3 linked regions of the Arabidopsis thaliana genome follow. The protein of the gene in region 2 interacts with the protein of the main gene of each other region in a biochemical or structural test. Each region holds a gene or a part of one and is shown on either strand. Other genes may lie near its edges. The genes, in order: PSB29, GP ALPHA 1 and RGS1.

Region 1 (9,736 bases), 2.2 Mb from region 2:
CTATTAATAATAAGAAAGAAACTAATTAAAGATGCATTGTATACGTACACATGGTCATGTCCCGGAGAAGCAAAAGGAAAACAAAACGGTTGAATGCATAGAATAAGTGTAGAAGAGGCTGATCAAGGGACAGGGTAGGACTTATTGTTGCACATGCATTTATAAGCCATTGGACAAGTCTCAGCCTCTTCGACGGATGCACACACAAAGCTAACCATCACAAGACGGCATGGAGAACACGAGCCACACGCGTGTGAGCAATCTGGCAACCTAGACCCAGCCACCTGCACCGTGTCCGGCCTCCTCCTCTGACGCTTCAATGCCCCGGTCATTCCTACATGATGATGACCTGCACATGCACGCAGACATGAACAAGTTAGAGATCTTGAAGATAGTGAAAGAGCTGGAGTAAGAAAGATGTGCATAGATACATACTTGGATGGGAGGATGTTGGTAAATGCCTAGCCAAGAGAGAGCCAAAGAAGAAAGAGAGGAAAAAGGCAAGGAGAAGAAGAGACTTCATGATATATTATCGCAAGTGGTAAAAGTAAAATTTGGGATGAAATAGTACGGCGAGAAACAAGGTATATATGATCGTTAACAAAGGGTTAGGAAATTGAAGAGACTCACGGTAGAGAAGAGGAGAGAGTCACATGAAAACAAGATCGAACATATGAAATGATATAAATTTTGAGGAGATGATGTAGAGTATGTGAAGCCTAATTAAGAACTTGAACTTCATTCGTGCTGCTTTGGTGAGTGTCATGAGCTTCCTCTGTGAAAAACTGAAAGACATACTTTTGTGTGCAATCACCTTTAATTTACCCTCTATAACCCTTCTTTTCTGTGACCTTCATTAATGCACCCAATTAATGTTCTTACTAAAAAAAAAAAGTTGAGCATTTGATGAGATAGAATGAGGGACATTGTCTTGGGGCTTGTGTTTTAAAATCGATAATATAATAGAGTTAATTACACATGAGGTTATTAATGATTTAAATACTGATTATACTGAAATTGCACAATTGTTTTGAAAATGATAGTATGTTCTATACTTGACATCTCAATATTTTGACACTACTACACTTTAAGCGATTAATGAAAAAATATTAAAGTTTCAATCAACTTTGCACACAAAAAAAAGTTTCAATCAACATTTGAAGAGTGTCGAACATGCACCTCACCAATCACATTACACTATAACTTTTCTACACCTTTCTTTGGGATGCTAAATTTCAATGAAAATTTTCTTATTAAGTTTCTATTTGCTAAAGGGGGCAGAAACATCAAAGGTCAAATGATTTAGTTACCAAAGTCAACGGCTTAACATCATAAAATCATCTTCTAGGAATCAATGTCCCTTTGAGTAGCCTTCATAGTATAATCTTCAAAACTTTGGCAAGTTAATATATAAATATGAAGCACTCATAATATAACTGGTATAAGATAATGGTTTGGGATTTGACATTCGTTGCATTCTTAATCAATCTAATCGTTTTCTCAAACTGCTGCCAATAAATTTAAAAGAAGAGAAAAACTTATTAAGTAGAATGATGGACCACGTTAAAATATCTTAATAAGAATACTACATAAAATACTAATGGATAGTGTATAAGTTTAATTGGAATAGCAAGTTTTATGATTGGAGAGATAGAGCATAGAGAGATAATGAAAGTGGAGAGAGCTGACCCATTCATTCACCGACTTTTTAAGCTTTAAGCTGTTGACTTTTTCTTCTAACACGAACCTTTTCCCTTGTCTTTGTTTTCTTTTTGTTTTGTTTTGTTTTGGAGTTTGTTTATCTTTATCTGCCGAAAGTTTAAGACTTCAGCCTCCCACCTTGGCACCTCCTTGCGTCCACGTCATCTTAATATGTACCAAGGTTTCTAAGTTCTTCATGTCAATAGACATTATAACATATTTGGAATCCATATTATGCAAGGAGACATCGGTTTTACTAATGCGAATTGAGGGGCTTGTATAAAATCGGTCTGCTTCAGAAAACATTCCATTTTTCAACCCTTGAAAGTCCATTCAGTTTACCATCCAAGAGTTTTTCCTTGTTGTGAATGATAAGAAAATCCATAACATTTATCTAATTTTATCGTATTGGAAAAATAATTTAATATTTCTGAATACATTTATTAAAAATATAGTTAAAAACGATGTATTTTTAGCGTTTTATAATTATTTAGCATTATTTAGATGTTTTCGTTATTTTGTTATTACATCATTTTAATTATTATTCATGTGACTTGAAATTAATTACTTTTTAAGGTCGAATCTTTTTTTACGCCTGCCTTTACACTTCTTATTAGAAGGTTATGTATCGAAACAGCCATCCAAAATTTAAATAAATTCTAAAAGAAGTTATATATATTATGAATGTATGGTGATACTGACATGGGTAGGGTACATTCTTTTTCTATTGAGTTAGTTGATACGTTAAGTTGGATGAGATATAACTTATACTATCATATAAGCTTTTTTTAATTTGTGTGTTTCAAGTTTGGTCGGTTTTGTTTATGTCTTTTGTAGGTGGGGTATACAGAAAAATAAGAGAAAAAAAAACAAAGTCAAAGCTGACTTTGACGACAAATCGCTAACCTTCGAGAGATGATGATAACAAGCCTAATTAAAATACACGTTACGTCGCAATCAATTGCTTCAATCTCATTCTCATTGCATGTCATCCTTAGCCGCGGTTAGCCGACCATACTATCAACGATGTGCATACTATCAACAATGTATTTGTAATAATTAAGTAGAAAAATAAAGAATGTTCCACCGTCCAAAAGAAACACAAGTACGGTCCTGAGAGGGCTTGAGATATTTTGCTTAGTGATATATGTCAACATCTTAGTTAAGCCCCACCGGTTCTGATATAAAAGTGGGGAAAATATTTCATAACCACACAACAAATCTCTCTGTTTCTCCCGCTCTTGCTCTGTTTTCTCAAAGACAAAAGAGGACATCGTCGTTGACTCCTCTTCTCTATGGCTACTGCTAAGAACAAGGGAAAATCAATCAGGGTCCTTGGTACCAGTGAAGCAGAGAAAAAGGATGAGATGGAGTTGGAGGAGGAGTTCCAGTTTAGTAGCGGCAAGTATAAAGATTCGGGTCCTGGCTCGGACATGTGGTTAGGAGATGCTTCCTCTACGTCTCCAAGAAGTCTTAGGAAGACTAGAACCTTTGACCGACATAATCCCTATCTCGTATCTTCTTATGCTACTCCTCAGCCGCCAACAACAACTACATGCTCTGTCTCTTTTCCCTTTTACCTCCCTCCAGCGATTCAAAATCAACAACGATTTTTACACCCGAATGACCCTTCAGGACAAAGACAGCAACAAATGATCTCGTTTGATCCTCAACAACAGGTGCAACCATATGTTGCACAACAGCAGCAACAACAACAACATCTATTGCAGTACTGGAGAGACATTCTGAAGCTGAGTCCGAGCGGAAGAATGATGATGATGAACATGTTAAGACAAGAAAGCGATCTGCCACTGACGAGGCCACCGGTTCAACCCTTCAGCGCCACCAAGCTATATAGAGGTGTCAGGCAACGCCACTGGGGAAAATGGGTTGCCGAGATCCGTAAGCCACGAAACAGGACACGTCTCTGGCTAGGGACATTCGATACAGCAGAAGAAGCCGCCATGGCCTACGACCGCGAGGCCTTCAAGTTGAGGGGAGAGACCGCTAGGCTCAATTTCCCTGAACTTTTTCTCAATAAACAAGAGCCAACTCCCGTGCATCAGAAACAATGTGAGACGGGGACTACTAGTGAAGACTCAAGCAGAAGAGGAGAGGATGATTCGAGCACGGCATTGGCAGTAGGAGGGGTGAGTGAGGAGACGGGTTGGGCTGAGGCATGGTTCAATGCAATTCCAGAGGAATGGGGACCTGGAAGCCCTCTATGGGATGATTACCACTTTCCCATTTCTAACCATAAGGACGATCTTGACGCCACACAAAACTCTTCTTCTGATACAATTTAGGACCTTTGTTAGAATATAGATATGCTTAGTTGTATGACTGATCTAGCTTGTGTTTTTTTTTTGGGTGGAGACAGTTTTTGTCATCTTCCACATTTTAGATTCTATTTTCGACCATCATTTTTTTCTTGATCGGTGACTATGAATCTAATGGGGTCAATCATTTTCACATATAAAACTTAAGTATTTGGTGTTTGTACTTCATCAGTTCATCTTATTCCATAGAAAGAGAGTGAGAAGTGATCAATAACCCTTTTAACTGAAAAAAAGAAGAAGATCAAAACCTAAATAAGATTTAAGTACATATGTCTAATTCGACGTAAGACATTTTTGGAAACGATCAATGTACTAACGAGTTGAATTCTGATGAATCTTGAGCATGAATAAACGGACTTTGTAGTTTGTACAATTGATAATGAAACAGAGAGCAACATTATGTACATGTGATATATGCTGCATTTATTTATGGGCTTTTATTAGATGGACCGAGCTCTAGCAAAATCCAAAGTAAATGGGCCTAATCCTAACGTGGACAGACAAGGGACACGTGTCACACTACCGACATCTCGTGGAGTTGGATAAGCCACTCGAAAGTCGAAACTCAGAAGATCCAACCAGAGCCATCATCATCCTTCCAATGGCTATTACTTGAGAACTCTTCTGATTAAACATAGCAACAACAACAACTCTTCTTCTCCTCTCTTTCTCACTTCAATTTAGCGATGGCTGCAACTGCAATCTCTTCTCTTTCCTTCCCAGCTTTGGGTCAATCGGACAAGATCTCCAATTTCGCATCTTCTCGTCCTCTCGCCTCCGCAATTCGCATCTGCACAAAGTTTTCTCGCCTTTCTTTGAATTCGCGTTCCACTTCGAAATCTCTTATTCACTGCATGTCCAATGTTACCGCCGGTGACTCTTCTTGAACTTCACATTGCATTTCACAATTCATTCTCCTTTGTTTTGTATTGAAAAAGGCTCTGACTTTATCTGCATTCACTCTCTTGTGGTTTTGTTGGTCAGATGTGCCTCCTGTATCAGAGACAAAGTCGAAATTCCTAAAAGCTTACAAGCGACCCATCCCGAGTATCTACAACACGGTTTTGCAGGAGCTCATTGTCCAGCAGCATTTGATGAGGTATAAGAAGACTTATCGTTATGATCCTGTTTTTGCCCTTGGATTTGTCACTGTATATGATCAGCTCATGGAAGGATATCCGAGTGATCAAGACCGAGATGCCATTTTTAAGGCTTACATTGAAGCCTTGAATGAGGATCCTAAGCAATACCGGTTTGCTTCTTCCTGCTTCCATCTTCTCCTTGATAATGAATGTCTTCTTGTTGAATGTCTTTTTCTAAAGATGATAACTTTTTTTGTACAGAATTGATGCTCAGAAGATGGAGGAATGGGCACGAAGTCAGACTTCTGCTTCACTAGTTGACTTTTCCTCTAAAGAAGGAGATATTGAAGCAGTTCTTAAGGACATTGCAGGAAGAGCTGGTAGTAAGGAGGGGTTTAGTTACAGCAGGTTCTTCGCTGTTGGGCTCTTTCGTTTGCTTGAGCTTGCAAGTGCTACTGATCCAACTGTCTTGGACAAGGTGATTCTATTCGTCTTCGGTTTGCTAATCTATATTAACAGCTTAATCTTGTGTTTAGAGGAAGAAGAAATGTTGCTAGTTTTGTATCCATTATGTTCACTGGCAATGTGCAACTGTATTCTCTCTGACATCTCACGGTAATTTTGATCTTTGTGTCTCATGAAACAGCTTTGTGCATCCCTAAATATCAACAAGAAAAGCGTGGATCGGGACCTGGATGTGTATCGTAACCTGCTTTCAAAGCTTGTCCAAGCCAAGGAATTGCTTAAGGAGTATGTCGAGAGGTACTGATACTGAATCCCTATCTAAATAGACTAGGCACTGGTCTATTTTTGAATGAATATACGGTGCTTGCTGCACCATGAAACTTCTATATAGAGCCTAACTTGGATCTTTATACTTTTGGTTACTCAGGGAGAAGAAGAAGCAAGGAGAAAGAGCCCAATCTCAGAAGGCTAACGAAACAATCTCCAAGTGTCTGGGAGATACTCTATATAACCCATCTTTCTTGGTTGAACGGAAATCTTAGAAAATCATTTGTGACTTCTTTTTTTGTTTTCTTAGCAACAACTATGCCCAAGAACATATATATCTCATTTCTAAGAACATTTCAGACGTGTATATGTTTGCTTTTTTTCCTTTCAATTACATGAGTTTACATAATGTTGATTCATGTAGTATTTTATACATTGATGAGGTTACTGTTGTGCTGTTACTAGTATATGACAAGTTTCTTTAAGATTTAGGCACTGTCTTCAGAGCACATGTGACCAACCATGAACATTTGAATTTCTCCTCCTTGAAGCCCTTCCTTTTTTATTACTGTGTTCTCCCTATAAAAAAAAGGTCAGATTCTATGTTTAGGAGTTGCAACATCTGAAAGTTTCGCATTTGGCGTCTCTGCACTGTCCTGCTAACTGCTGCAGTACATGTGCGTTAAACGAGAATCTGTGTTGCTATAAATCCAGATACATTATCTCGGCCATTAAACGTGAACAACCAAACAAAAGCAAAGAAAAAAGATGGTTACCAATCTAAACCAGTTGCTGCTAGTTGGCTCCTTTATGAAAGAGTGAATAAAAAAATTGGAGTCCGGAGGAAGAATGCATAGAATCAACAATGAAAATGGTTAATTGTCTAACTAAGTTGAGAAATATCAACCTCATCAGGAATCTTGAAGGTATCCGCAGCACCAAACTTTCTAAATTCTTCGCCTTCAGCCACTGAGTCGTCTTCATTATCATCATAATCTTCTGCACCATCCTGATGGCGGGGTGTTGAAGGGTCAAACACACTTCTGGACCGGCAGTCATGAGTTGCAAGCATGTTCACTTGGCCAAGGTGTGAAATCTCTACCATCACAGTTTCATCATCCAGTGGCAGTGGCTGTTTCCAGGGCTCCCCATCCATCCTCATGAATGTATGGTCGGTTGCACCTTTGTGAAATTCGAAGCGAATACGATTTGCCTAATCACAGAAGTTATCATTTGTATGCACTCAATCATCACATCTTTATTTGTGTGTATCGTTATCATTTCCAACTTGTACAATTCTTACCTGGGCAAGTCGTGTCCCATGTCCATTGGGAGCGAGCAGAACAAGACCATGCCAAGCATTTCTAAACCCAACAACCTCAATGAGGCCATCATCTACAAATGGTGGAGTCAAGCCTCTCTGTTTGTGTCACAACAAAGAAAAATGCATATTATTTTACCATGGCGAAGATAAATACACAAACGAGGATATATCAGAAACTTATGTAGCACTCAGGCAATGTCAAGAGTTCGTAAAACCTACATCACGTTGTTTCCTGGGATTTGGTGTGCCCCAAGGATTTAATCCTCCCGAAAAGCTGGGCAGATTCAGACATACAATGGACCTGATGCTGCAAGAGTAGAAACAAATGTCCGAATTGGAGTAGTTCATATTCGATCATGTAACCATTGCTTTGTAACATTTGAAATGTAACCATATATAGTTAAAGGTTACAAACAGAGAAAGATCCCAAGACTATCCAACATGTCCATCCTGAACTGTGTCCAATGGGATCCCTCAGGATTAATAAAAATTACCTATGTGGTATGTGGAGGTCCTGCCACTGGCCATTTCTAGTTGCAATCTTAACCTTGGCAAGCTGAGCTATATTCCTGCATTGGAAGCCATAGAGCTTTCCTTAACATTGTGATAGAGAGCAAAATCATATATAAACAGAAATTAAATTACAGCCAAAAGACAGGAAATGTAAGAAATGTGAACCACTTAACCGAGAATATAAAACCAGCATAAGATTACATGTTTCGATATTGATGTTGGAGAGTATTTCAAATTTGATGTTGTTTAGCACACAACGAGACCCAAGCAGTAAAAAGAACAAATGCTGAAAATAATGATGGGTACCAAATTTCTAATTACTGACACTAGAACAGTATACTAAAGACAAAAGATAAGGCAGTAGTGTTGCAGAGCATTATAATCATTCATGTCCAAGAATCTCAGAAAGAGAAAAACAGTGAATGAGAATGAGAAGTTGAGGGGGACCTGAGACTCAGAAACAGAAAACAATGAAACGAAAAGTATGTCTACATCTTACACACCGTGAAGCAGGGTGGAAAAGAGAGGCACAAAACCATCCTTGCGTGCAACCAAGCTTTACATACGTACTCTGGCATTGTAAAGCAAAATGCAAAGTATTTATTCTTTGTTTAGTATAAATCCCAGTGAAGGGGTATTAAAAGAGAAGGTGTAATCTAAAAGGTCAAATTCAAAAGGTACCTGATTAACCAGCTGATTCTTAAACTTTTCAGGGTGAAGCTTCCTCTCAGAATGAAACGCATAAGAAATCTGAGCATCCATTCCTTCATAAGCACAATAGAAAGAAGAACTTTCAAGGAGATTTGTCTTTCAAGGATATCAGCTGGTTTCGTTTATTTAATTTCAATACAAACAATGCAATAACTAGATTGAAACTCAATAAGTTAGCTCATCAACCAACTCCTAAGGGGAAATCTAACTTTGCTAATGACTTGTGGGAAATCCAAAGTTAGATTGAAGCTAAAATATCTCACCGAGGCTAAAGTAATTCCAGAACCCTCCTCGAAAAGTGTGGCAGCCTTCCTGAAAAACATAAAGGGTGTGTTTCTATATAAGATAAGACAGAAAAAAAAGGAAGAGACACAGCTATATAATAATAATGGGAAGAAGAAGGTAAATCACCTTGTTTAGTTCATCAGTTGGAGAAACACGGTGAAATGCATGTAGAGAATGTGGTAACTCAAGAGGAGCAACAGGATCACAAGAACCACCTTCTTTGGGAGTTTTCATCCTCATAAGTATGTGCCAACTTGAAGCAGCAGATAGATAGTCGTCTGTTAGTTATTCACCAAAAGTAAAGACTAATAAAAACTACTGTGGAGACAGATATGTAAAACATTACTTGTCAATCTTCATCACTTTTGCCTTCAACACTTGTTCCAAAAACGACTCCACTGCAGTCCTATCTGTTCCTGGATTCTTCTTTCCCTGTAGAGAGATACATACACTTAATAATAATAATAAAACATATGCAGGCAAGTGTATTGAGAGGAGGAGTGTAGTAGTAAGTAAGACACACACCCATCCAAAAGCAAAGGGAAGGTTGTTTCCTGTACCCAAAGGTACAGTGGCAATTGGAGGAGGATGTGACAATTTAAGGTCACATACAACTCCAAGGAGCCACCCAGCAGTGCCATCACCTCCTGCAACCTAATAATAATGGATGGCATTAGATGATGTTTCATTCAATTGGAGAGAAAGAAACAAAGAAAACAACATTCTCTTACAATGATTTTTAATTTCTCCCGAATCTGACGAGCGAAATCATCATCTTTGAGCCTCTCCAGGTTAAGATAGATTCTGCGGAGCACTTTATCTGGAGTCTCCTGGTCGAGATCAAAGACCTGATTGTGATTGAGAAGAGATCGGTAGGTGAGAATGAGTTCGCCACCCAACTGACCACCGCTTTTGGAGTTGATGAAGACAAGGACGGGGCTCGCAGGTGTAGGACGACTCTCCTCCTCCTCCTCCTCTTCTGTTTCCGCCGAGAGGACGTACGTAGGGATGTAGAACTCCTTGAGAAAATCTGATAAACTGTTGTATTT
Region 2 (12,140 bases):
TATCTTGTTTCAGATTAAGATCCAAGAAGAGCAACAAAACTCTTATTTCATTTAGAGATGGAGAGTTTATTTGTACTTAGCCGACTGAAGATCATAGGAAATCATGTTCTATTTTCTTCAAACGTTTCATATGTAATCATTAATTGAATTTGAAATTTTGTTTTATATTTTTTAATATTAAATGTTGGATCTCATTTCTTGTCAACCAGTTTCACAATTTGCATATTGGACAATCATAACGAACTAGAACATAAAAATCAAGACTATCTAATACAACTTAAGACATAACTTCCTCCAAGCTGCTTACAAAGTATTTTGATTGACAATATCTAGACATGACCGCGTAAATCTAACCCAATTGCCTTCTTCTAAAACTCAGAGGCAATTGGAAATCTAACAAGTAATTGATTTCAGCATCTCTTTATGATTCCCACCACTTTTCTACCAATCTCCTCCTTTGTCTGCTCTGACACCGGAACATCTCCAATGTACATACCAAAAAATGCTCCTGCAATGTACACAAATCTCAGAGCCCTTGGACTTTTAGTACGCAAACAAAAACGAGAAAACAAATAATTAGAATGAAGAACTAACTGCAAAGATCCTTGCTTCGGACAGCTCCAATCAGGTTACCACCAACTGCAAACGTTGGCCATGTTCAGGTCAGGTATACAATAAATTGCATAGAGAAGGAAGCTTCATAATTATTACTCACTCTCTGTGATTAGCTGTCCATCTTCTGTTCGCCGAAAGTCTATTATTGTTCCCTGCAAATGAGCCACTAAAATGAGTCATACTCCTTTTATGTATGTTTATATGTAAAGTGTGAGTGTAAGCATTAGCCATTATGTACCGCGGGTATTGGAATGTCTTGTCTAAAGAATGAACCAAAATCATTCAAACAATTGAAATCAGTTTTTGGATTTGCCTGCAATAAAAATGGAGAAGCGTATGATGTAGCAAAGCGTAATCCACAGTGCTTATCAGAGTACAAACTACACTCGGTGTATCATTTACCTTAACCAAGCGAGCACGCAGAGATTTCTCGAAAACACTGAAAACATAGACAAACAAGGGAAGGGATTAATTTGCCATCTATCAGTGTAATGCGCCTCAAATCATCAAATGGCAAGTAAATAGATTAAAATAAAAGAAACTAAAAGTGAGAATCAATTAAGGACCATAACACCTTCACGATTCATGAACATAGTTCAAAACAATACAAGATGTTCAATATGTAGCAACTTCCACTTACTCTCTCACAGTATTGATCTTCAAGCCATTGTAGTTAACCACAAGCCTCACACTCATAACAATATCCTCCCTGAAAAAAACTCAAATAAAAGACTTTCAGACGAAATGTCCAATCAAAGCTACACCAACTAAATCAGATTAGAGTGGACTTCAAACAAATAAAAGTGCACAATTCTAATAATATGAAAAAGATTGCTATAATACCTAAGAAGGTCTTTGTATAAGTCATCGCATTTGTCAAGTTTGCTTGCTGGAACCGAGGCATACTTTCGGCCAAGCTTCTGACAGACCGAGGAAGGGTGAACATCTAATCCAGAGAAGTTCAAGTTAGAAGCAAAAGATGACAAATTGTTCCATATATATAGAAAGATACAAAGCTAGAATGCACTTACAAAAACCAAATGCATATACTTTTAGAGATTTAATTCTGATAATTTTCATTGTCCGAGATCCCGTTGCAACAAGCACCTTAAATTATGATGAATTCAAAACGTATTAACTTTTCGAAATTTAAATCAAATCTCTTCTTTGGTGACTCTAACATAAGTTGTAATGACAAAGAATAACAAACTGAGGAAGAAAAAGCTATAAGAACCTCAGAATTCGATCGCGAAGCATTCTCCTTCAACAACATCGGGAACTCGATCCCCGTCCTAGGCTCCACTGATTGTCTTGTCCAGTCTAATTTTTGAAAACTCAAACCACTATATTCTTCACATCCCACCTGACAAGTCCTATGTTCAGTGTTCTCCGGACAAGTCCTATGTTCAATGTTCTCCCTAAGTTTAACATCATTACTCCCTAGTGGCAGAGCAAGTCCATTTGCAGACCTAATAAAATCTACAATCAGAAACTTCCCCAAAGAGAGTTTTAGCACTAAACAATATTACTAAACTTACATGACATTCAAAGACGGTATCATCGCAGCCGCCAAAGAGAGCAAAGAACACGAATGTAGCCTCTCAGCTTCATTAACAAAATGCTGAATAGTGGATTTAGATATGTTTCCAAAGAAGCCAGGACTAATATCTTTTGATACATAGTGAAATGGGAACACAGAGACGTTCCTATGTTCAAACACATGTTTTAAAGAATCACGGCTCTTACAAGTTAATCCCCATTGATGTTTAGATACTTCTTTTTGCAAGTTTCCATGTGAAAACCAACAAAGCAAAGCTCCTGTAAACTTAGAGATACAACTAAATGCTTCGAAAGCTAAGCTTCCAGGTATATGTAATTGTGAAAACAACTCATGTTGTAAGAAACTTCTCTTAGGTAAAACTGAATTAGGATCCATATTTGACATTTATAAGCTTTTGAATATAACTCCAATTGTACCAAAGATTCTGCAAGAAAAATCAAACAAAGACAAATTCTCAAATCAAAATCAATGGCTAACGAATCAAATCAAAGCTGAATCAACAACAACAATCACAAACAAGCCTTGATCTAAATGGTTCCCTAACAAAACCAATTTCGTGATCTTTGAGAGTTTCGTATTAATCAAACTAAGAAGCGATTGTTATCATTATCGTATAACAGAAAAAGCAAAATCAGAACACCATTGGAAGAAAGAGAGAACAACAACATACATGTTTCAGAGGATTGCTCGAAAACGGAATCAAAAACAGAGGAAGAAGAATCAATGAAGCTTTTTTTTTTTTTTGGGATCTATTAACGAAAGAGAAGAAGGAATATTCTTTGACGTAAGAAACAACAACGGCGAAGAGTTTTTTGCTTTCAGGGTTCTTCTTTCTTCGGTGCAATTATTTTTAAAGTCGCTTTTTCGAATGTTCTGAAATCACGGTAGACCCCATGTGTTTTACTTTTATTTCAGTTTTTACATCATATTTTGTATTTGTTCAGTTTCACCCCCATACTTTTTTTTAATGTAAGAACTTTTTCATGTTAGGAACATTCCAAAACTTTTTAGTACTGATAAAGTTACGTTTTGTGTTGTGTTTCACTTTCTAGATTTCGGGATGTGGATGCCTCATTTTAATAATAATATAACCCCAAAAACAAGATCAAAATGAGATGTTTTTGATGAGAAAAAAAAATAAGAAGTCAAAGACAGAGGAATGTTAACAAAAACAATGATAAAATAGAAACTAGTCGTAGCCATCGAGACACATTAGATTTTGAATCGCTAAGTCTTTTGTCCCGAAAGATAAATTACACGGTCATTCAGTTTTCGAGTTTTTCTTATAATAATAAGGAGAGGTAATTTACTAGAGATATGTAATAATAAGGTCATAAAAGGCCAGCCTCCAGTAAATTTCTCCTTCTTAGTGTCTCATCTACGAGCTTGAACGTTTTCTTTACAAGCTTCTGGTCCAAAGCCGTCGTCCTGTAGATTTTGAATACCCTGTCCACTCTATCCGGCGCCGTGTTCTGGTAATATAACTCCTCAAACTTCTTCTTCACAAACCTGAATCCAAATTAAAAATAAGGTCATATAACGGTAACAGTTTGGCGGGAATCAGTAAAGTTTGGAGACAAGCTTACTCGTATGCATGCTCAATCTCTTGTTTCCCACTTGAAACTGGTTGGTAATCTCTGAACCACTCGCAAACGTTCAACGGAACCTATGCACATTGAATAAGAAAGCGTTATTGAACAAAAAGACTTGCTTGCCTATCAAAACAAATAAATATGCTTTAGTTCTTCTTACGTCAAGAACTTTCTTCTCAAATATGTCGAACTTGTTCAAGAACAGCATGAAGGATGTTTTCTGCGTAAAGAGAACCAAGTTTTTGTAACCAAACCCATCTCAAGAGTGTCTTTAAATTTTTAAAAGATGAGATAAAAATGTAACTAAAAACCTCAAAACAGGGTTGTTTCAGGACCCAGTCGAATAATTCCTTGGTCTCCATCATCCTGTTTTTCTGCTCGTCCTCAAAGAGCGTTTGGTCGTACCTATGATCAAAACTCAGTTAATGTTTTGGCAATATGTGGACAGTACGAGGATATCTTATAATTTATAATGAAGTGAGCTTACTCGCTGATGGCAGCACAAAATATCACAGCTGTTACACCTTCAAACAGATGAATCCATTTCCTCCTCTCATTTCTCTGTCCACCCACGTCAAACAATCGGTACACTTCACCACTTTTTTTATTCTCTCCCACAGGGCTGCATAAACGAAGCTTTATCTCATATACCATTTGTGAATTCATCTTTGGTAACGGATCATTACAAGTAGATTCACCACAACAACAAGTTTGATATTGGTATGGAATTCATATGTTCTATTAGTACATCTTAGTGGCAATCATAGGAATCGAATCCGTAAACACTTTTATTCATTTCACCAAATAACTTACACATCGCAGAGAGACTACATTAACAAGATTGTTGCTGAGCTGTTAACACAGCTACTACAAACCGCCTAGCTAATCATATTGCCTAGTGAACCAGACTAACACTTAGAGCTTATCAAACAATTACTCATCTATGAAAGACTAACAATCAAACAGGAAAAAGGGTAAAACAAAAAGTAGTTGGTACCTGAACTGTATTTCCACGACACCAGTTGTGCGAACTCTTGCATAAAGTACATCCTCCTGAAACACCAACATAGAAAAAATGCACCAATGACAACACATTCCGGAAGACACATGTCACAGAAATTGCATATTGACTCTGGTCTCTGAAAATGCTAGCTCAACTAGGCTAATATGGAAAGCAAAAGGCTTCTGTTTGTTAATACATTGATCCTCCGAGGCTGATCCAATGAGTTTTATTCAACCATTTTAAGATCATTACTTGAAATGTTTTCAACAAAGAATGATACTTTGGTTATACCTTAGTTGGAATATAATTTATATCTGATAGTCTCTTCAAGTTCTCCATCAGATATTTCGTACAATCAGGAACCTGAAGCTCATTACCACGAGCACAAGTTTCCTACAAAATGAAACGTTTAAATCATGTATTCAACTTTGAGTGCAATAGTAAATAAAACGTGCACACACACACACAAACACACCTGAATTGCAGGATCCTTCCATAGTGTTTCTATTCCCTCAGCGATGTCCTTGGTAAGACGTGGATAGTCTAACCTACCACCAATCTCAGATAGTTTCTCCCCAATTGCCTGATATTACGATAATAAGTTGACTACCATAAGACAAGGTACTCACAAGACTCAAAACTCTAACAAAGACAGCTCAAGTGACCTATGAATCTAACCACTTACAATACTTTCAGAAGATAACATATATTTAGCAGAATCTGTTTCATTTTGAGCAAACTCCTTTGTTCCATCATGCAATAACTGTTCAACAATATAGAGTAGCTATTAAGCTACATGTACAATATACCAAGATCAACATATGAAAAAAATTTGATTACTCATATAAATGATTCTCTAGATTGTAAATCCAAAAGAACTCGAAAACACCGCCAATTAGAAGGATAAAACCGACACAGTCATTTCAAGTATTGCATACTTTTATAGTCTGATAGACATTGGCATGAATGACTGGAACATAGCTCTTTAGTTCTCCTTCATCAAATCCCGTTTGGAATAGAAGTTTTATCTGCAAATTAGTAAATTTGTATCATTCAATTAGCAGGATTCATAAGTAAATTTAAGTAAAGAGTACAATCAATTTTCCTTGTGGACTTGCCTGCTTAAAAATTGTAGATTTTCCAGATTCCCCAGCACCTTTACAAAACACAAGTCAGAAAATTAGAGGAAAACTATTACCAAAAGATTCATCAAGGCATGCCATTCACATTTCTAATCCAAGGTCTACATACCAAGTAGCAAAAGCTTCCGAATATGCTTTTCAGCCTTTGCTTCTTGCTCTATCCGTCTTTCGATTTCAGCAGCCTGTAGATTAATACAAACCAAGTTAACTCTTGAAGTATCAGAAATAATGCTCCCATACATCGAGTGTTACAAGAGCTCTTAAGTCAACCTGTGTATTCTCATCAGTATCTTCAGTATGATGTCGACTTCTACTGCAGAGTAAGCCCATGATTGTTTCTATATCCCCACAGGTAATAACATAGAAGTCGAAAACTATCAAGATTCAAGCTCCACAGCTAAAAACAAATACTTGAGCTTCCAGCTACAGTTGCTTCTCATAACAAGACAATGCCTACACCTACTTATGAAACAATCAATACTTTAGCTCAAAATTCATAAATATACATAAAGTTTCACTCACCAAAATAGCAAACATGTTCAAAGAATGCAAGTAAGAAAAAGCATTAAACTTTATAATATATACTGGATTAGTACCTCTCAAATGAAACAAGTTCAGTAGTTAAGAAAATGAGCTCTAAAAGTCGAGTAGCTAACACCATTAAGAAATTCAAAAACTGTGAGATAGCAAATCAAGTAATAGATAGAGTTCACACTTGAACTGCTATAATCAGATCCAAAGAATCATAATTTTCATTTCCAATCTACAGTAACGACGAACTGATCTACAAAACCCTAAACTTGAAAAACAAAACCAATTCGAAACGAAACAGAAAAACAACAGAACAAGGAGGAGAACTAGGACAAGATCTGAGTAATAAAAAACAAAACTTTCATAAAACCCAAAAGAGTAAATTTGGGGTAAGAAGAAAAGTAAAGTAGAATTCACCTGAAGAAGAAAAAGAAATGGAGTCAAAGGTAGTGAAGAAGATATCGGAGTTCGCAAACAAGAAGAAGAAGAAGAAGAAGAAAGTACAAAACAAGGTCTGAGAAGAGAGCAGAAGAAGAAGAAGTAGTACTTCTGCTTCTCCTGTTTCTATTATTGTTTTACCACTTTCTTTCCGCTTTAATGTTTTTGCTTCACTCTTTTGGATTTATTCTCTCCTTTTTATTATAAATACATAAAATGCAAATTATGAATTTAATTAAAAATAAAATAAAAATGGATATATTTTTAATATTTGGTCAAAAAGAAAGAAAGAAAATGTTAAGCAAAGGGGAAGACGAAATTACGCCGAAAGGTCCTGAGAGAGAGAGAGAGAGAGTGGTCAAATGTTGAAAAAAGATGTGCCTCTCGTGACGATAAAGAAGATTAATTACGGAACCTATATGCATTTTTATTTTATATACTATTAAGTTAACCATTATTGGAAGAGAATTACTAAGTGTGGCAAGACAAAACAAATTTGGAATTTTATGACATCAAGTCCTTGTATCGAAATATCTTGATTTTTGCTTTGCAGTTGCATTACAAGCTGGACTCTACTTATATCTAGAATGGGTTTTGCTAGCTTAGGAAATATATTGCAGTTTTGATTTAGGAAAGAAAATAAAGATTCAAAATCGATAAAAACACAACATATCATATAGTACTTTAAATCTTCAACCTACAAAAACATCACATCCGTTAAATCCTTACAATCATTAACATCGACTTGAACTTCTCACAAAATGTTTCCACTGAGAAACGGTCTTGGCGAGTGATGGTATATTTATTGGTTGGGCTTAAATATATTTCAGATGCAAAACCATATTGAATCAATAAATTATAAATACATAGCTTCCCTAACCACTTAAACCACCAGCTACAAAACCAATAAACCCGATCAATCATTATGTTTTCATAGGATTTCCTGAACATACATTAAATTATTTTTCATTTTCTTGGTGCTCTTTTCTGTCTTATTCACGTTTTAATGGACATAATCGGTTTCATATTGTAAATCTCTTTAACCTAACGAACAATTTAATGACCCTAGTAATAGGATAAGAAGGTCGTGAAAAATGAACGAGAAAAAACCCACCAAAACACTATATAAGAAAGACCGAAAAAGTAAAAAGGGTGAGCCATAAACCAAAAACCTTACCAGATGTTGTCAAAGAACAAAAATCATCATCCATGATTAACCTACGCTTCACTACTAAGACAAGGCGATTGTGTCCCGGTTGAAAAGGTTGTAAAACAGTTTGAGGATGCTACAAAAGTGGATGTTAAGTATGAAGCGGCTAAGGTTTTGGATTTGGTCTAGGAGCACATTGGTTAAGCAATATCTTCGGTGGAGATTGAGTTTTTAGAGATAGTAGATACTAATTCATCTATGGAGACATGCAAATTCATCAAAATGCTTGGATGAATTAGAAAAACTAGGTGGAGAATACAGTAAAAAAATTCAAAAAGTGCATATTGTTTGGACAACATTAATATGTACAAATAGTTTACATTTAAATGTATTATTTTACTAATTAAGTACATATAAAGTTGCTAAACTAAACTAATATAATTTTTGCATAAGTAAATTTATCGTTAAAAGTTTTCTTTCTAGCCACTAAACAACAATACAAAATCGCCCAAGTCACCCATTAATTAATTTAGAAGTGAAAAACAAAATCTTAATTATATGGACGATCTTGTCTACCATATTTCAAGGGCTACAGGCCTACAGCCGCCGAATAAATCTTACCAGCCTTAAACCAGAACAACGGCAAATAAGTTCATGTGGCGGCTGGTGATGATTCACAATTTCCCCGACAGTTCTATGATAATGAAACTATATAATTATTGTACGTACATACATGCATGCGACGAACAACACTTCAATTTAATTGTTAGTATTAAATTACATTTATAGTGAAGTATGTTGGGACGATTAGACGGATACAATGCACTTATGTTCTCCGGAAAATGAATCATTTGTGTTCAGAGCATGACTCCAAGAGTCAAAAAAGTTATTAAATTTATTTGAATTTAAAACTTAAAAATAGTGTAATTTTTAACCACCCGCTGCCGCAAACGTTGGCGGAAGAATACGCGGTGTTAAACAATTTTTGTGATCGTTGTCAAACATTTGTAACCGCAATCTCTACTGCACAATCTGTTACGTTTACAATTTACAAGTTAGTATAGAAGAACGTTCGTACCTGAAGACCAACCGACCTTTAGTTATTGAATAAATGATTATTTAGTTAAGAGTAACAAAATCAATGGTTCAAATTTGTTTCTCTTCCTTACTTCTTAAATTTTAATCATGGAAGAAACAAAGTCAACGGACATCCAATTATGGCCTAATCATCTCATTCTCCTTTCAACAAGGCGAATCAAATCTTCTTTATACGTAATATTTATTTGCCAGCCTGAAATGTATACCAAATCATTTTTAAATTAATTGCCTAAATTATTAGAACAAAAACTATTAGTAAATAACTAATTAGTCTTATGAAACTAGAAATCGAGATAGTGGAATATAGAGAGACACCATTAAATTCACAAAATCATTTTTAAATTACCTAAATTATTACAACAAAAACTATTAGACAGAACTAAGTCTATAATGAAACGAGAGATCGTATTTGGAATGTAGAGCGAGAGACAATTTTCAATTCATTGAATATATAAGCAAAATTATATAGCCCGTAGACTTTGGTGAGATGAAGTCTAAGTACAAACAACTGAATGAATTTATAATCAATAATATTGATTATATTGTGATTAGAAAAAGAAAACAACTTGCGTTATTTTTCAATATTATTGTGAGGATTAATGTGAACATGGAATCGTGTTTCTCCTGAAAAAAATATCAGCATAGAGCTTAGAACAATATAAATATATCCACCAAAAATAACTTCAACATTTTTATACAACTAATACAAAAAAAAAAAAGCAAACTTTTTGTATATATAAATAAATTTGAAAACTCAAAGGTCGGTCAGTACGAATAAGACACAACAACTACTATAAATTAGAGGACTTTGAAGACAAGTAGGTTAACTAGAACATCCTTAATTTCTAAACCTACGCACTCTACAAAAGATTCATCAAAAGGAGTAAAAGACTAACTTTCTCCATTTTTTCCCCAAATAACACAAAAGAAGAAGTTGAAAATGGCAGTGTTCAAGAAGAAGAAAACATCATTGACATCTCTGTTCTTGGGGTGTTACAAGGCAAAGAACGCAAGCAAATACGAAGGAGGGGAGAAGGCTGTAATGAAAATAAGAACTTGTCCAGCGTTCAAGAGGCTGTCTTTATCGGACATAAGCGATCCAAGCTCGCCCATGTCGGTTATGGATGATCTCTCTCACTCCTTCACATCGCAGAAGCTTCGTTTGTTCACGTTGTCTGAGCTGAGAGTGATTACGCATAATTTCTCTAGAAGTAACATGTTGGGGGAAGGAGGGTTTGGGCCGGTTTACAAAGGGTTTATTGATGATAAGGTTAAACCGGGTATCGAAGCCCAACCGGTTGCTGTAAAGGCTCTTGATCTTCATGGCCATCAAGGCCATAGAGAATGGCTGGTAACATTTCTTTCTCTTTATGTATGTTTTTGTCTACATTCAAGACTTTTCTATTCACAAGGAACAATTTAATTACGAAGACCGTCTCGATTATTTTATATATTTTTTGAATTTTGGTTTATCTTCTTAATTAGCTATATGAATCTGGCCATTTTTCAGTATGTTATTAAATATATATATCTTTTGTGAAATTTCTTCATAAAGTTTTTTTTTTCAGTGTATACAAAATTTATTTTTGTTTGCAGGCGGAGATATTATTTTTGGGACAACTAAGTAACAAACATCTTGTGAAGCTGATAGGGTTTTGTTGTGAAGAAGAGCAAAGAGTTCTTGTTTATGAGTACATGCCTCGAGGTAGCTTGGAGAATCAGCTCTTTCGAAGTACGTCATCTACTATATTTTTACCTAACTTGCTAAAAGTTGTTTCAATTTTTGCTATATATGTTCTAGACCGCGTTACAAAACATTTTTTCTGTTTAAACCTAAAAGAACAACTCCACGAAGACTTTAATTACGTTTTAGTTATAGAATGACAAGAATAAAAAATATTGAAGAAAAGAATCCATATGGTTCACGTTAACTTCGTCAAGTTCTTACTTTATTTATGGGTCGTACACTACATTAATAACTTCTTAAAAAACTATATATTTTTTATAATTTAGATAATATTCAATAGTATTACTAACTTTGAAAAGTGTGTGAATTGGGACAGGAAATAGCTTAGCAATGGCTTGGGGAATAAGGATGAAGATAGCTCTCGGAGCCGCCAAAGGTTTAGCTTTTCTCCATGAAGCAGAGAAACCTGTCATCTACAGAGACTTTAAAACCTCTAACATATTGTTAGACTCCGTGAGTTTTTTTTTCCTTTTTAAATTTTGTATCCACTATTAAATCAAATTAAAGTGGTATTTCTCAACTGACTCTTTGATATTTCAGGACTATAACGCCAAATTATCTGACTTCGGTCTAGCCAAAGATGGACCTGAAGGCGAACATACGCATGTAACTACCCGAGTGATGGGAACACAAGGTTATGCTGCGCCCGAATATATCATGACTGGTAACATTTTTGTAAGGAATTTATTTCTTTTACCGTGAAGCGATATTCTTTGAGATATGTCTTTAATGGTTTACATGTGTTGTAGGTCATTTGACGACGATGAATGATGTATACAGTTTTGGAGTAGTTTTGTTAGAGCTGATAACCGGAAAACGGTCAATGGACAATACCCGAACACGGAGGGAACAAAGCCTAGTGGAATGGGCGCGGCCTATGTTAAGGGACCAAAGAAAGTTAGAGAGGATAATTGACCCGAGGCTCGCGAACCAGCACAAAACAGAAGCGGCTCAGGTAGCTGCTTCCCTAGCATACAAGTGTCTAAGCCAACATCCTAAGTATAGACCTACAATGTGTGAGGTGGTTAAGGTCTTAGAGTCTATCCAAGAAGTTGATATTAGGAAGCATGATGGCAATAACAACAAAGAAGGAAAGAAGTTTGTTGATATAAATAAGTTTAGGCATCACCGTAAAGGCAAAAGACGTGTGAACATCGCTTATTCAGATTCTCTCGTTTACAAGGAATCCAAGGCAAAGCAAAACGATGGCATTTGAAATACATCATTTTCTCATATGAATTATTAAGCATTCATATTCTATGA
Region 3 (11,141 bases), on a different chromosome or scaffold from region 2:
CCGTATTCAGCTTCCCCGAAGGATTCTTTTCCACACGCATAAACTTTTCCGTCATCGCTTATTAGCATTGTCCGAGCAGCACCAGCAGCTGCTTGGATGATTCGAACTCCCTGCAATGATCTGCACAGCACGATAACAAACTCCATCAAGCCAAGAGCATATATTTTCTTCTCTTTTCAGATCTTGATGATGATGGAAAATGACCTAACAGGTTGAATTCGAGCTTCGTCCTCGGTATGACCATGTCCTAGCTGTCCAGAGTTATTATATCCGAAAGTATAAACTTCTCCTTTCGATGTGACTGCTACACTATGACCAGGACCAGCAACAGCTTGAGATTTCTCTCTTCGACAACACGCTTCACCAGCCAGCAAAAACCGAAGGACTAATTTCCATGATCCTCCGCACCTACGTTTCATCTCTTGACGTTCTTCTTCATTCATCGGCTTGAAAATCACCCTTTTATTACACATGTCGAGAGCAGCGAGCTCCGATAGTGATAGGTTAATGTCCGGGGCAAAGTTTGCTGGCTGGCTAAAGAACGAGCATGTTGCCTAAAACAACAACAACAACAACAACAATCAAATCAGCAGAACAATCAATCCTCGAAAATTTCAGTAAAACATTTCCGACATTTTCGAAACAAAACCTCGAGATTAGCGAGGTCACGAGGATCCAATCTACATTCAGTGAGAACATGTAGGACAATGGAAGGGTTAGCTGCTAAAGGAAACTCTCCTGGAGTTGTGTCACCAAAGCAATGTCGTTTTGGCCTCTGAAATGGTGACACAGGAGGAGAAGTAGTCGAAACAGATTGTTCCGGCAAGTTAATATACTGTAAACTCGGAGTTCCACTCGTAGCATCCATTTTTGAAACAGATTATCTACAAAACCACAAATTAAGACAAGAAAGTCACACTCTGATTAGCCTGAAATATGAGAAAACAAACAGAACAAGATCCCCAAAAACTTACCTGCAAATTCTCTAGTCTCTAGTATTGTTCAACAAGTTCTAAGCTTTTTGATCTACATAAGAAACAGAAACTAAGTAAGGTTCCAAATCATAATCAATTGTTATAAACAGAAACTAGAAAAGGTGAAACCTTTTGACTAATGAAGAACAGAGAAAGAATCTGTGAATCAATCAAATCAAATCAACCAAGAATGAAAGAAGAAAACTTGGAAGAGAAGTGTAGGAATCAACAATGAATTATTCTATAAAGATGAAAAAGGAATCTTAAAGAAAGATTGGATCTGATACGGAAGATAATAAGAAAACAGTTTGTCACACGCAAAGGACTACTCCTTCTCCTCTGCACACGGAAACTCAAAACTTTTGACCTTACCATGATCACAACAGAAAACCCAGAAATCAATTTTGATTGACCAAACAAACACATCAGAGAGATCAATCCATTTGGGGAAATGTTAGTAACTAATACTACAGTTTGATCATTACCCAGATTCACAATCAGAGACAAAATCATAGAAAATTCAACAGAGACTTGAGATGGATAAAAATGATTACTTGTTAAGAAAAAAGATGAGATTTTTGAAAACCCATCTGCATCAAACCATCATCATCATCAATTCAATCATCATCAACAACAAGAATTCGAACATCAGAATCTACAGACAAGCTATAGTGAGTTTCTTTGGTTGTGTTCTTGTGTCTGATCAGAGAAGCATAGAAGATGAAAACGAACGATCGAAGAATGTTTTGTTAGAGAATTAATTGACTGTGAAGAAAGCAAGCAAGCGAATTTCACAATTTGATCAGAAAAAAGGAACTTTTTTTTAATATAATTTTGGTCCTGGGAAAGTCTGCAAATTTGGCGTTGATAGAAGTGAATGAAGAAGAAAGAAAGTTGTGGTGTCTCTTTATGCGGACTTATAAAGCGATCAGATCTCTTTCTCAGTAAATAACATAACAAATTATAAGAAAATTTGTGATTATATGTCACATATATGTTTGATTGTAATGGAATATAACATCATGATGATCAATACATGTATGCATGTGTTATGTGTGTATATAGACGTGTGCATCCAAAACTTGGTTTGAGTGGTAGAACAAGTTATCTATCTATCTATCCAACGGATCTTTATAGTAGTTTATTAATATCTGCTAATAATTTGATTATATTACTCATGAGTCCTTACATAGTTATCCACTATGATGACATCCTCATTCTTTTTCATGTTTATAAGGAGTATTATTTTCACCGAAAATAGAAGTAAATTTTGTTAAATTCATTTTAGTGAGAGTTTTCATGTCTAGATGTTATAGAGTTTTCATTTTAGTTTGAGTTTTAAACAAAGATAGAATGAAGATATTAAGATTGAGATATAAGAATGAAAAGGAAATAACATTATCACAACTAATTTGTAGCATTTTCGAAAATTTATTCATAATAGTCTTGGAACAGAAAATAGATGTAATTACTATTTAGAGAATTCCCCATAAGCTAAACAATTTAACCAAAAAAATATATTGAAATTAACTAATTTGGTGAAAGATAAACTGATAAAGATTCCTTTTAGTTTTATAAACTATCTTGGAGAGAACATCGACAACACCCAATAATTGCTACCCATATATATACCAAAACCATATGGTAGACAGCCAAAAATAAAATAAAAAAAACTTCTTTGGGAAATAATATTTATTTATGGTGAGATGAGAACCACTAATATTTGGGAAAGATTCACCATAATAATGAAACATTAATTTAAACTTTTTTTTCATTCGCTGACAAGACTTCTTACCTACACATATAAGTTTTATTTTTTGAACATTTAATTTTTATATGTTAACAGCAGAATAAATCTGGCTAAGTTACTGAATTTAGGGTTTAATTGACATTTCTTGCAGAATTTTACTGAATAATTTAGAGCTTAAATGGTAACAGATGATTTTTTTTTTTAAAAACTTACCTAAAGACATTTTATTGCTGCTCAACAATATTTAATTTTATATTTTATAGATATTTAAAACTTTTAATATCATTTAATCATATGATAAACCTAAAAAATTCTTCAACTTTCTCTTTTCAGTAACAAATTATATTCTAAAATTGAAATATTTGATGACCATCCCACCTTCTCGTTATAGATGTTGTACACGTCAAAATATAGTGGTGGAAAAAAACATTATGTCAAAATGTTGATGAAAAGCCTTAGCGAGGCCAATGGATATGTCATCACATCATGAAACATGTGATGCAACATCATCACTCTGCAAGGACATGAAGATCAATCTGCAGGTGCTTTTTTATTCTTGGTGAAACAGATGGCATATACGTATAAATTCTTCGAGATATTAATTAGTATGGTTCCATAGTTTTTGTCCGGTATACACATTTAAAACTAAACCAAAATCCGAACCGGACATTTTCTCTTACAGTTAGGTATAACAAGAGAGAAAATGACATGTACAAGAAATGTGAAGGAAGATTACATGGATTGGATTGCTATGAACATTGGTTTGGGTTCTGGTCTAGTACCAGTTTTAGACTCCTTAACCGGGACTACTGCATCTGGAACTCTTTGACATATGTTCTTGATAGAAAGGATCATCAGAGCCTTGAACTGAACTCAGTCTTGGAGATGAAAAACTGTATCCTTCCTTATGCATTGCCTCGTGGCAGCTTTCTTCTTCTTTGAACTTGATGAAGTAGATGGATGACCAGTAATCTCTTACCAAGTTCTTCAAATTCATGAGCACAAAAAAATGAGAATCAAGAGAATAGCTTGAAGGCGTGCGTAAGAGAGTGAAAGAGAGATGTTATTTTACCATCTTGATCAATTGCATGACTTCGTTTAATGCGTTCTTGAAGAGATCAGTGTGAGTTAGATCTTGAGTGGTTAAGATCTCTTGTCGGGTTTTATGAGATAAGTTCAATTCCATTTCCGCTCCTGTGTTTTAAGGAATTACTAGTTAGATTTATAGAGAGAACACACGAGACAGGTCTATAAAGAAGAGGGAAGATGGATATGTAATTAACCTGCGACGATGAACTTCTCCATGATATGTCGAGCCATGTAGATTCTTCTTATCGAATCATCTTCCGGGATTTTACCATGTTCATACACCTCTTCAAAAAAATGCAATGTTTCTCCAGCGTAGCAGCTACCAGCATATAACGAATTAGTTTAAATAAATGGTGAAACCGGGATATATATGAGGTCAGGTATTGAATGGAGTACCTATCAGCAAATTCCATAAACGAATGGCGAAATCTTTTATTGAGAAGAAGCTTATCGAGTGGCTCGTTTGGGTCAACAGGTCGAAACTCCTCCTTCCGAAATAATAATCCGCTATCGGGAATGCCTAGAGCTTGACCCATTCTTTGAAACTCAAAGTTTTGTCTTTTCTTCAAGCTGATTTGTGAAAGAAGAGGTTGGTTACTCGAGATGGAAAAGAAGACAACGACGAGAATCCCACCCTGAAAGAAGAATCAACTCAGAAGTCTGTTAAAAAGGTATTCCAACTGCAAATATAAAGAACAGTCCTGGTATTAGCTTTCATACCGTGACTAAAAGCACAAATCTTGAAGCAACCTGAAGCCAAGAGATTTCTTCATGAATCTCATTCAACACAAACGCTGTTACCCATATAACGATTGAAGTGGCTGAGACGAGAATTCCTTTCCAGAGATCTCTAAGCTCGTCAAAACGAAACTCTACATGTCGAACTGCTCTTGTGAATGCAATTAAAGCAAGGACATAGAGAGCATGAAGGCCTGCAACTGGGAAAGTCCATTGAAGACCCATGTGGCATTTATCGTTGAGAGGCTTTGTTGCGTGGATAACTAAATGCAAAATCAAAAGCTTTGAGTTATTATTATCCAAAACAAGAGAAACCAAGAACTGCTCAGTACATATAACGTTCAGAACAATTCTTACTTGCAGCTCCGAAGATCCATGGCAACAAAACAAGGGGGAGGAAAATGTATGATTTTACCGGAGGTAGACGTTTCCTACATTGCAAAGAATATGTAACAACCAAACAGCATTAAACTCAATTACACCAATAGAGATAGAATTGGAATCCAAAAACATTTTGATCAACATTGAACCTCACTTGACAAATATGAAGTATAGTTGAAATGCCTGAGTTATACGGCAGCTCATCAACAAACCAAACCCAAGTGGTCCTTCAATCCACACTGAAACCAAATTATACAAGACTTATTGATATAACTGTCAATTTGTTTACGAAGATGAGGAATCATGGTTTCCAAACAAACCTGCCCAAAGATAGCAATATCGCCACCAATGTTTCGTCCTGAATCGAAGCAAATTAACTGACATCTGAAAATTAAATATAAAACAGTCTATTAGTGTAGAAACTCAACAAATGAAGTGATTCTTAAGAGCAACGGAATCATCAAGTCAAGTAGTCTAACCATAATTGAGAAGAGAAGGTTGAAGCTGGAGATAACTTGAATAACAGGGATCCAGAAACTGCTACTGTTAGTACGAGGAGCCTTATGAATCAAACACGGTAACACTGAGCGCGATAACAGCCTAAATAAACAAAGTGAAATCCATCAGATAGAATCAACTTAATAGAGAAATTGAACTACTTGGAAGTTAACTCATGATACAAATCCACTCAATTAGTCCATTAAATCAAGCTTTTGAACTTCAAATCTAAGTTCAATAATCGATTCCGACATAATATATGAATCTTGCTATCAAGATACTGAAACCATCTAATTCCCAGCTAAAAGAAACTGAAACGAAACAAAAGACAGATCTTTTGATACATAACATCAAACACTTACAATACAAAGAGTTAAAATAGCAAAGAGAGACATCGTATGAAAATTTTAAACGATTAAAGACACAAAATTCGAGATTTTGACTCAAGTCAAGAGTCAACAAGCAAACCCAGTAAATGAAAAATCTAGATCTTCAAAACTAAAACCCAAAAATGGGATTTTTAAGCTCGAACACATACACGAAGAAGCAGATGACTGAAATTGCGACGGCGACGTAATCGCTGGGACAACCACCATGTAGAGCACATCCACTCGCCATTTCTATTGTAGCATATCAGCTCTCTCTTCTCCACTCGCTTTCTGGGTTTTTGAGATTTTATTTGGTTTCAAAGCTTGTTGCTTTAATGTCAAGGTAAAGTGTGCAAATTTCTATAAATTCAATAAAAGAAACTTCATTTATCGATGTTGAAACAAAAAGCTTTAAAAGATTCACACTTTCGCATAAGAGAAGAGACGTCTCTGTCTCTTCATTGTTCACGTTTCTCTCTTCTTCTCTGACTTTTTTGACCAGAAGACACTTCCTTTTTCCGGTAACAATTCTGATTGGTTTTTCACTTTTCACTTCTATAATTATAGATTTTTCATACTTGTCCTTTGTGACAAGTTGGTACATTAAAATTACAATAACCACCCTCTATTATAGATTTTTGACATAACCACCCTATACTATTGAGAGATTTCACAAACCCACCCATTAAAATTGTATACTTTTTTAATTCAACCCTGTTGTAAATTTTGTTTATTTCACTCCAATGACTTGATCTTGGAACTATATCGCCACAACAGACCTCCCACCAAATTGTTGAGTGCGTGCGAGGCCATTGGAACGATAAGACTCGACGACAAAACAGCTGCATAACCGTAGACTATACCGACAATCGAAGCCCTGAAAATTTCAAGAAACCGCAAAGAATTCAATAGGAAAACCTCGGAAATGTGATAGAGAGATGCAAGAACATGTTAAAGGCAATCATCTAATATCAAGATTCGGTCTACGCAATTCTCATCAGCATTGAGGTACCAAAATGTTCAGTAAAAACGGCTTACCAAACTGCAAAAGAATACTTTCTTCCGCTCCCGAGATGAAGTAAACCGAAAATGAGGCCAACCGCTACAATACCATTCCAATTAGTTCCGAACAAAGGCATTAATGCACCTCTAAACAGCAGCTCCTGTGAATACACCAAATCAAACCAATGAACGACATTTTCTAAAGGAGAGCCTTTCTGTGTTTTATTGTGATTGTTTATTGTTACCTCACTTATTCCCGGTAACATTGCAACAACAAGGTAATCTAGAGGTTCGAGGGAAGTGAGAATCTGCAAGTAGTGAATACCAAAGGAGACAATAAGCGGAGTTTAAAGAATCGTATAAATGTATATAATGTGTAATGTTTTGACCTGTCGGTTTGCTGCTTCACTAGAATCAGCAAAATCTGGCCAAGATTTAAGTAGCAAGAACCTACTTGACGATATAAACACAACGATTCCAGCAATTAAACCGAGATGCCAAGTTTCAAACCCAACTGCAAGAAAGATCATGCAATACAAAACATGTTTTGGTTACTGAATCTCTCAAAGGATTCTTAGTACACAACATAATCGTTTTCCGAGATGTTACATGGTACATCTATAGAGCAGTCTGGAACCAGTAATCCTTCAGTCGAAGCAACATGAGACGCCTGCAAGCGGTAACCAAATCAGCAAGATACAAATGCTAGAATCACAAAATCATAAACTTTCAGATTTGGGATTCACCTTTCTGATGATCAGACCTAGTGCAGCCATCAAACCGGAAGTTACAGTGCAAGCCTGAAGCACTTTGTCTCGAGGAGCAGCAACAAAAACATCAATGGAGTCCTTTGAAGTTGAAGAATCAACTTGAGCTTCCTCAAATCTTGGAGAAGAAACTTCTTCATCTGTAACATTTCTTAAGCCTATGTCTTTACCTTGTTGTGACTCTCTTTTGAGTTTCTTAAGTGATTTACGACTTGAAGAGGCTCTTACATCAAACTTAAAACCCAAAAGACAAAATAAACAGACTATAGTATAAGAGATCATCTGTTCGGACCAAGAAGCGGCAACATTAAAGAATCTTACTTGTACTCTTCGAGCATCATATAGCTTAGGGTTCGAGCCAACTGATCATCAAGTAAGCAAATTTCAACCAAAAATCTTTGTCGAATTCTCATATATATGATCATATCAAGTTAGGAATCGCACTTACCTACCTGGACGAAAAAGGAGATGAAGAGAAGTTGAAGCTCCTCTGCTCCAAGATTGCAGAGCGATGGAACCCATCCGAGATTTTCGCCTGCCTTCTCAAAGTTTGTCGCTTTGATTCATAAGAGAGACTCTGTTTCCAATATAAAACAAATGAAGAGTTTCACGAAGAAGAAAGCGTCGAAATGAGAGGTCTGTGTCTCGCCAGCTTCATACGGCGTCGTTTATCAGAGAAAACGCACCAAGAAAGAAGAAGAAATGAAACCAAATTTTTATTGTAACATATTTCAAAAGAAGAGGACATGAGTCCTTTTCTGATTTTCTGTACCGAATTCAAAGTTTAGAGCTTTTTTAATCTAATGTGGTGCAATGTCGATCAAAACAAGTTGAATCATTGACAAAAGCTAGTCTCTTTTTATTCTCTCTTATTAGATTTTTACATACATGATGAATAGAGAGACAGAACAAGCGATTTTAAGTATGTATGATAGCTCGAAACTATTTTTTTCGATAGATCAGAGAGGGATTCGATAAGTGGGATCAAACATCTTCAATATAAACAACAAGTTGCCTTTGCCCCTTGATATCCTGTAAAAAATGAACATTGTTTCAAGATTCAAATGTTTTTGGTTGTCAGTTCCATAGAGAAATGAAAAACTATCATTCACTACTGACCGTAGTTCCTCGTCCACATAGGTAATCTCTAGTTCACCGCGTGCAGTACCATCAGGTGCTTTTACCGGAATCTGCACACAGCAAACACTAATGATCAGTAAAAGAAGCATATGGTGTATGTATGAGTCAGTACTACCAGTTTCCCTTATAACAGCAAGAGTTTTGGTAATACTTACAAAGCCGAGAATTTTAAACACTTGAAGTTTCACAGCAACCGTCTTCGAGTTGAGGGGTGTCAAGTCTCCAGTTACCTATGAAAACATTGTAGTTTGCTAAGTCTCATTTTACAAACTCTGCTGAAAGAATATTGATGATAAAAACTTTGGTATTAGTCCTCCTTTGTTCTTGCCTAGTGAGTCACAATGGAACATGATCATACATATATGTGACAAAGTCTCAAACTTTCGTACATTTTGAATATTATATAGCAATGGATCACATCAATAGGTTTCAACATCACAGAGAAAAGAGCTTTGTATATGGTCTAACACAACGCAAAATCGCAAAACCTACTTGTGAAAATGGTACAAAAAGAGAATTCAGTCGCGGTTTGAAATATTACCGAGTTATAGAAAGGCCAAGTCTCCATTCTTTGCACCTTTAGTGTATCCATATTGATACATTGGTAGTTAGTTAACGATCTTAAGAACCTTGGTTTCTGTTACATTCTCAAGGAGACAGAGAAAATTACACAACAAGCCAAAAACAAACAACAACACAAGTTTCAAAGATTACAAGTTCTAACCTTTGCTTGCAAAATCGCAGCAGATGTTGTGTAAATGAGCTCCCATTTCCCATTGATCAAATCAGACTTCAGAGGCTCCTTGGTTGGGTTTACTGCTTCCACCTTACGTGCTAACTATCATGATTCAAAACAAACACCACTCAGATTAGTCTCTCAATCACATTCTCTATACCCTAGTGTACCAAAACTATTCTCAATGGTTCCCACATGAAGAGAAATCAAGAACCTGATCAATCAGAAGCTGATCATCAGGCGAGGCAGTGGCACCACGTTCAAGAGGCTCAATGGCTTCGACAAGTTCATGTTTGAGCTGTTTCCGCTTCTCGGCTCCACCGTTTCTTGGAGGAAAGCTGAAAACAGCTTGGATTCTCAATCTTTCCCGATCACCTTTTCGAATACTCAGTAACTTCGTCGGAACGGCGAAGCCACTGTCCGATGGATGATTAAATCCGGCGGCCGGAGACGTTAAAACTCCAGTCTTTAAGCACCAAGGTAAAGCCATGGATATCAAAACAGGACAAAGCTTTTCCAATGGAGTTTTAAAGAGTGGCTGGGTCGTTTCTGAGAGACTCTGTTCGAAGATAGACACATAAGAGAGGAAAAAGAGAGAGATCGTAGCTCTGTCTTCGCCATGACCGACAACAACATCACACACACCACCGAAAGTCACAAAGATAAGGTTTTTTTGCTCTCTTTTCTTCTAAAACGAGAGGCCCTAGTTGTTTCTGACTCATTACGGCGTCGAAAACGTATGTGGAAAAGTAGATCTTTGCTATTTTCTTCAAATTGTCAAAAAGGCTCTACCTTTCTTCCTGTTTCGACGGAACCAACCAACTCTGACCATCGCTTTGACCACTCTTCAATCCTTCTCCGGTTGTGATCTTTGTACCGGACCATAACCAACTCACTTCTAATTGGTTTAACTTGTAGTGTTATTGAAGATTCATAAATCAACAGAAACAATGTAGAAAGGTCATGGAACCAGACATGAGACATGAATGAAAGATGAAAGAAAAATATGAGATATAGAGAGAAAATGATCTAAGCATTTTTGAGGAGCTTCAAGGTCTTCTTGTTGTACTGCTTGAGCATCACATAGTTTAGGATTGGAACTAACTGCTCAACCAAATCAAGATTCAGAATCTTTGATTTGAACAAGTTGAAACAATGACAGAAGCTCGTCTCATTTTTTCCCTCTTATTAATTTTTCTTATGTTAGATTACATACATGATGAAGAGAGACATAGCAAGTTGTAGCAAGTATGTATGATGGATGGCTCGGTACCATTTGTTTGGTAGATCAAAGAGGGATTCGATAAGTGGGATCAAACATCTTCAATATAAACAAGTTCCCTTTGTCACCTCTTGATAACCTGCAAAAAAACAACATTGTTTCAATATTCAAACGTTTTGGATATTTTGTTGATAAAACATGAAAATGAAAACTATCATTCACTACTAACCGTAGTTCCTCGTCCACATAGGTAATCTCAAGTTCACCGCGGGCGCTATCAGGTGCTTTTATAGGAATCTGCACAGCAAACACCAATCAGTAACAGAAGCATATGGTGTCTGAATCAGTAAAGGTTCTCTTATAGTGGATACACATATAGCAGTAAGAGTTTTGTACTTACAAATCCGAGAATTTTAAACACTTGGAGTTTCACAGCAACCTTCTTCGAATTGAGGGGTTTTATGTCTCCAGTTACC

Evidence for each region.
Region 1: the proteins of GP ALPHA 1 (region 2) and PSB29 form a complex in vitro, tested with the Arabidopsis thaliana proteins (one study listed by BioGRID).
Region 3: the proteins of GP ALPHA 1 (region 2) and RGS1 form a complex in vitro, tested with the Arabidopsis thaliana proteins (one study listed by BioGRID).

What each region holds. Positions count from the first base shown.
Region 1 is NC_003071.7:8,983,057-8,992,792, forward strand, and holds PSB29 (photosystem II reaction center PSB29 protein), read left to right. Parts: upstream 1-4,527; 5' UTR 4,528-4,726; coding exon 4,727-4,913; intron 4,914-5,024; coding exon 5,025-5,292; intron 5,293-5,383; coding exon 5,384-5,600; exon of another isoform or gene 5,601-5,768; coding exon 5,769-5,884; intron 5,885-6,014; coding exon 6,015-6,129; 3' UTR 6,130-6,355; downstream 6,356-9,736. Other genes in the region: EPF1 (epidermal patterning factor 1), read right to left, coding at 123-349, 436-523; ERF53 (Integrase-type DNA-binding superfamily protein), read left to right, coding at 2,997-4,007; DGK5 (diacylglycerol kinase 5), read right to left, coding at 6,356-6,433, 6,762-7,067, 7,158-7,274, 7,398-7,485, 7,673-7,747, 8,195-8,262, 8,373-8,455, 8,666-8,714 and 4 more. UniProt on the Arabidopsis thaliana protein: Involved in a dynamic process of vesicle-mediated thylakoid membrane biogenesis. Required for the normal organization of vesicles into mature thylakoid stacks and ultimately for leaf development.
Region 2 is NC_003071.7:11,192,190-11,204,329, reverse strand, and holds GP ALPHA 1 (G protein alpha subunit 1), read right to left. Parts: upstream 7,335-12,140; 5' UTR 6,862-7,334; exon of another isoform or gene 6,510-6,861; intron 6,373-6,509; 5' UTR 6,244-6,372; coding exon 6,184-6,243; intron 6,096-6,183; coding exon 6,023-6,095; intron 5,928-6,022; coding exon 5,890-5,927; intron 5,800-5,889; coding exon 5,710-5,799; intron 5,535-5,709; coding exon 5,457-5,534; intron 5,355-5,456; coding exon 5,247-5,354; intron 5,165-5,246; coding exon 5,063-5,164; intron 4,822-5,062; coding exon 4,766-4,821; intron 4,391-4,765; coding exon 4,256-4,390; intron 4,174-4,255; coding exon 4,080-4,173; intron 3,989-4,079; coding exon 3,929-3,988; intron 3,843-3,928; coding exon 3,763-3,842; intron 3,686-3,762; coding exon 3,508-3,685; 3' UTR 3,228-3,507; downstream 1-3,227. Other genes in the region: FAP2 (Chalcone-flavanone isomerase family protein), read right to left, coding at 411-508, 595-639, 716-767, 854-928, 1,018-1,054, 1,256-1,324, 1,459-1,561, 1,647-1,722 and 2 more; ARSK1 (root-specific kinase 1), read left to right, coding at 10,071-10,481, 10,727-10,862, 11,194-11,330, 11,418-11,541, 11,627-12,093. UniProt on the Arabidopsis thaliana protein: Exhibits a fast rate of basal nucleotide exchange. Guanine nucleotide-binding proteins (G proteins) are involved as modulators or transducers in various transmembrane signaling systems.
Region 3 is NC_003074.8:9,527,790-9,538,930, reverse strand, and holds RGS1 (REGULATOR OF G-PROTEIN SIGNALING 1), read right to left. Parts: upstream 6,319-11,141; 5' UTR 6,049-6,318; coding exon 5,969-6,048; intron 5,533-5,968; coding exon 5,412-5,532; intron 5,317-5,411; coding exon 5,253-5,316; intron 5,172-5,252; coding exon 5,087-5,171; intron 4,983-5,086; coding exon 4,909-4,982; intron 4,815-4,908; coding exon 4,534-4,814; intron 4,449-4,533; coding exon 4,210-4,448; intron 4,133-4,209; coding exon 4,008-4,132; intron 3,919-4,007; coding exon 3,797-3,918; coding exon of another isoform or gene 3,788-3,796; exon of another isoform or gene 3,772-3,787; intron 3,710-3,771; coding exon 3,521-3,709; 3' UTR 3,302-3,520; downstream 1-3,301. Other genes in the region: AT3G26100 (Regulator of chromosome condensation (RCC1) family protein), read right to left, coding at 1-120, 205-554, 650-868; AT3G26085 (CAAX amino terminal protease family protein), read right to left, coding at 6,534-6,675, 6,837-6,961, 7,046-7,108, 7,190-7,314, 7,410-7,470, 7,547-7,929, 8,020-8,089; AT3G26080 (plastid-lipid associated protein PAP / fibrillin family protein), read right to left, coding at 8,527-8,757, 8,863-8,937, 9,249-9,344, 9,432-9,545, 9,658-9,933; AT3G26070 (Plastid-lipid associated protein PAP / fibrillin family protein), read right to left, coding at 10,732-10,804, 10,895-10,962, 11,066-11,140.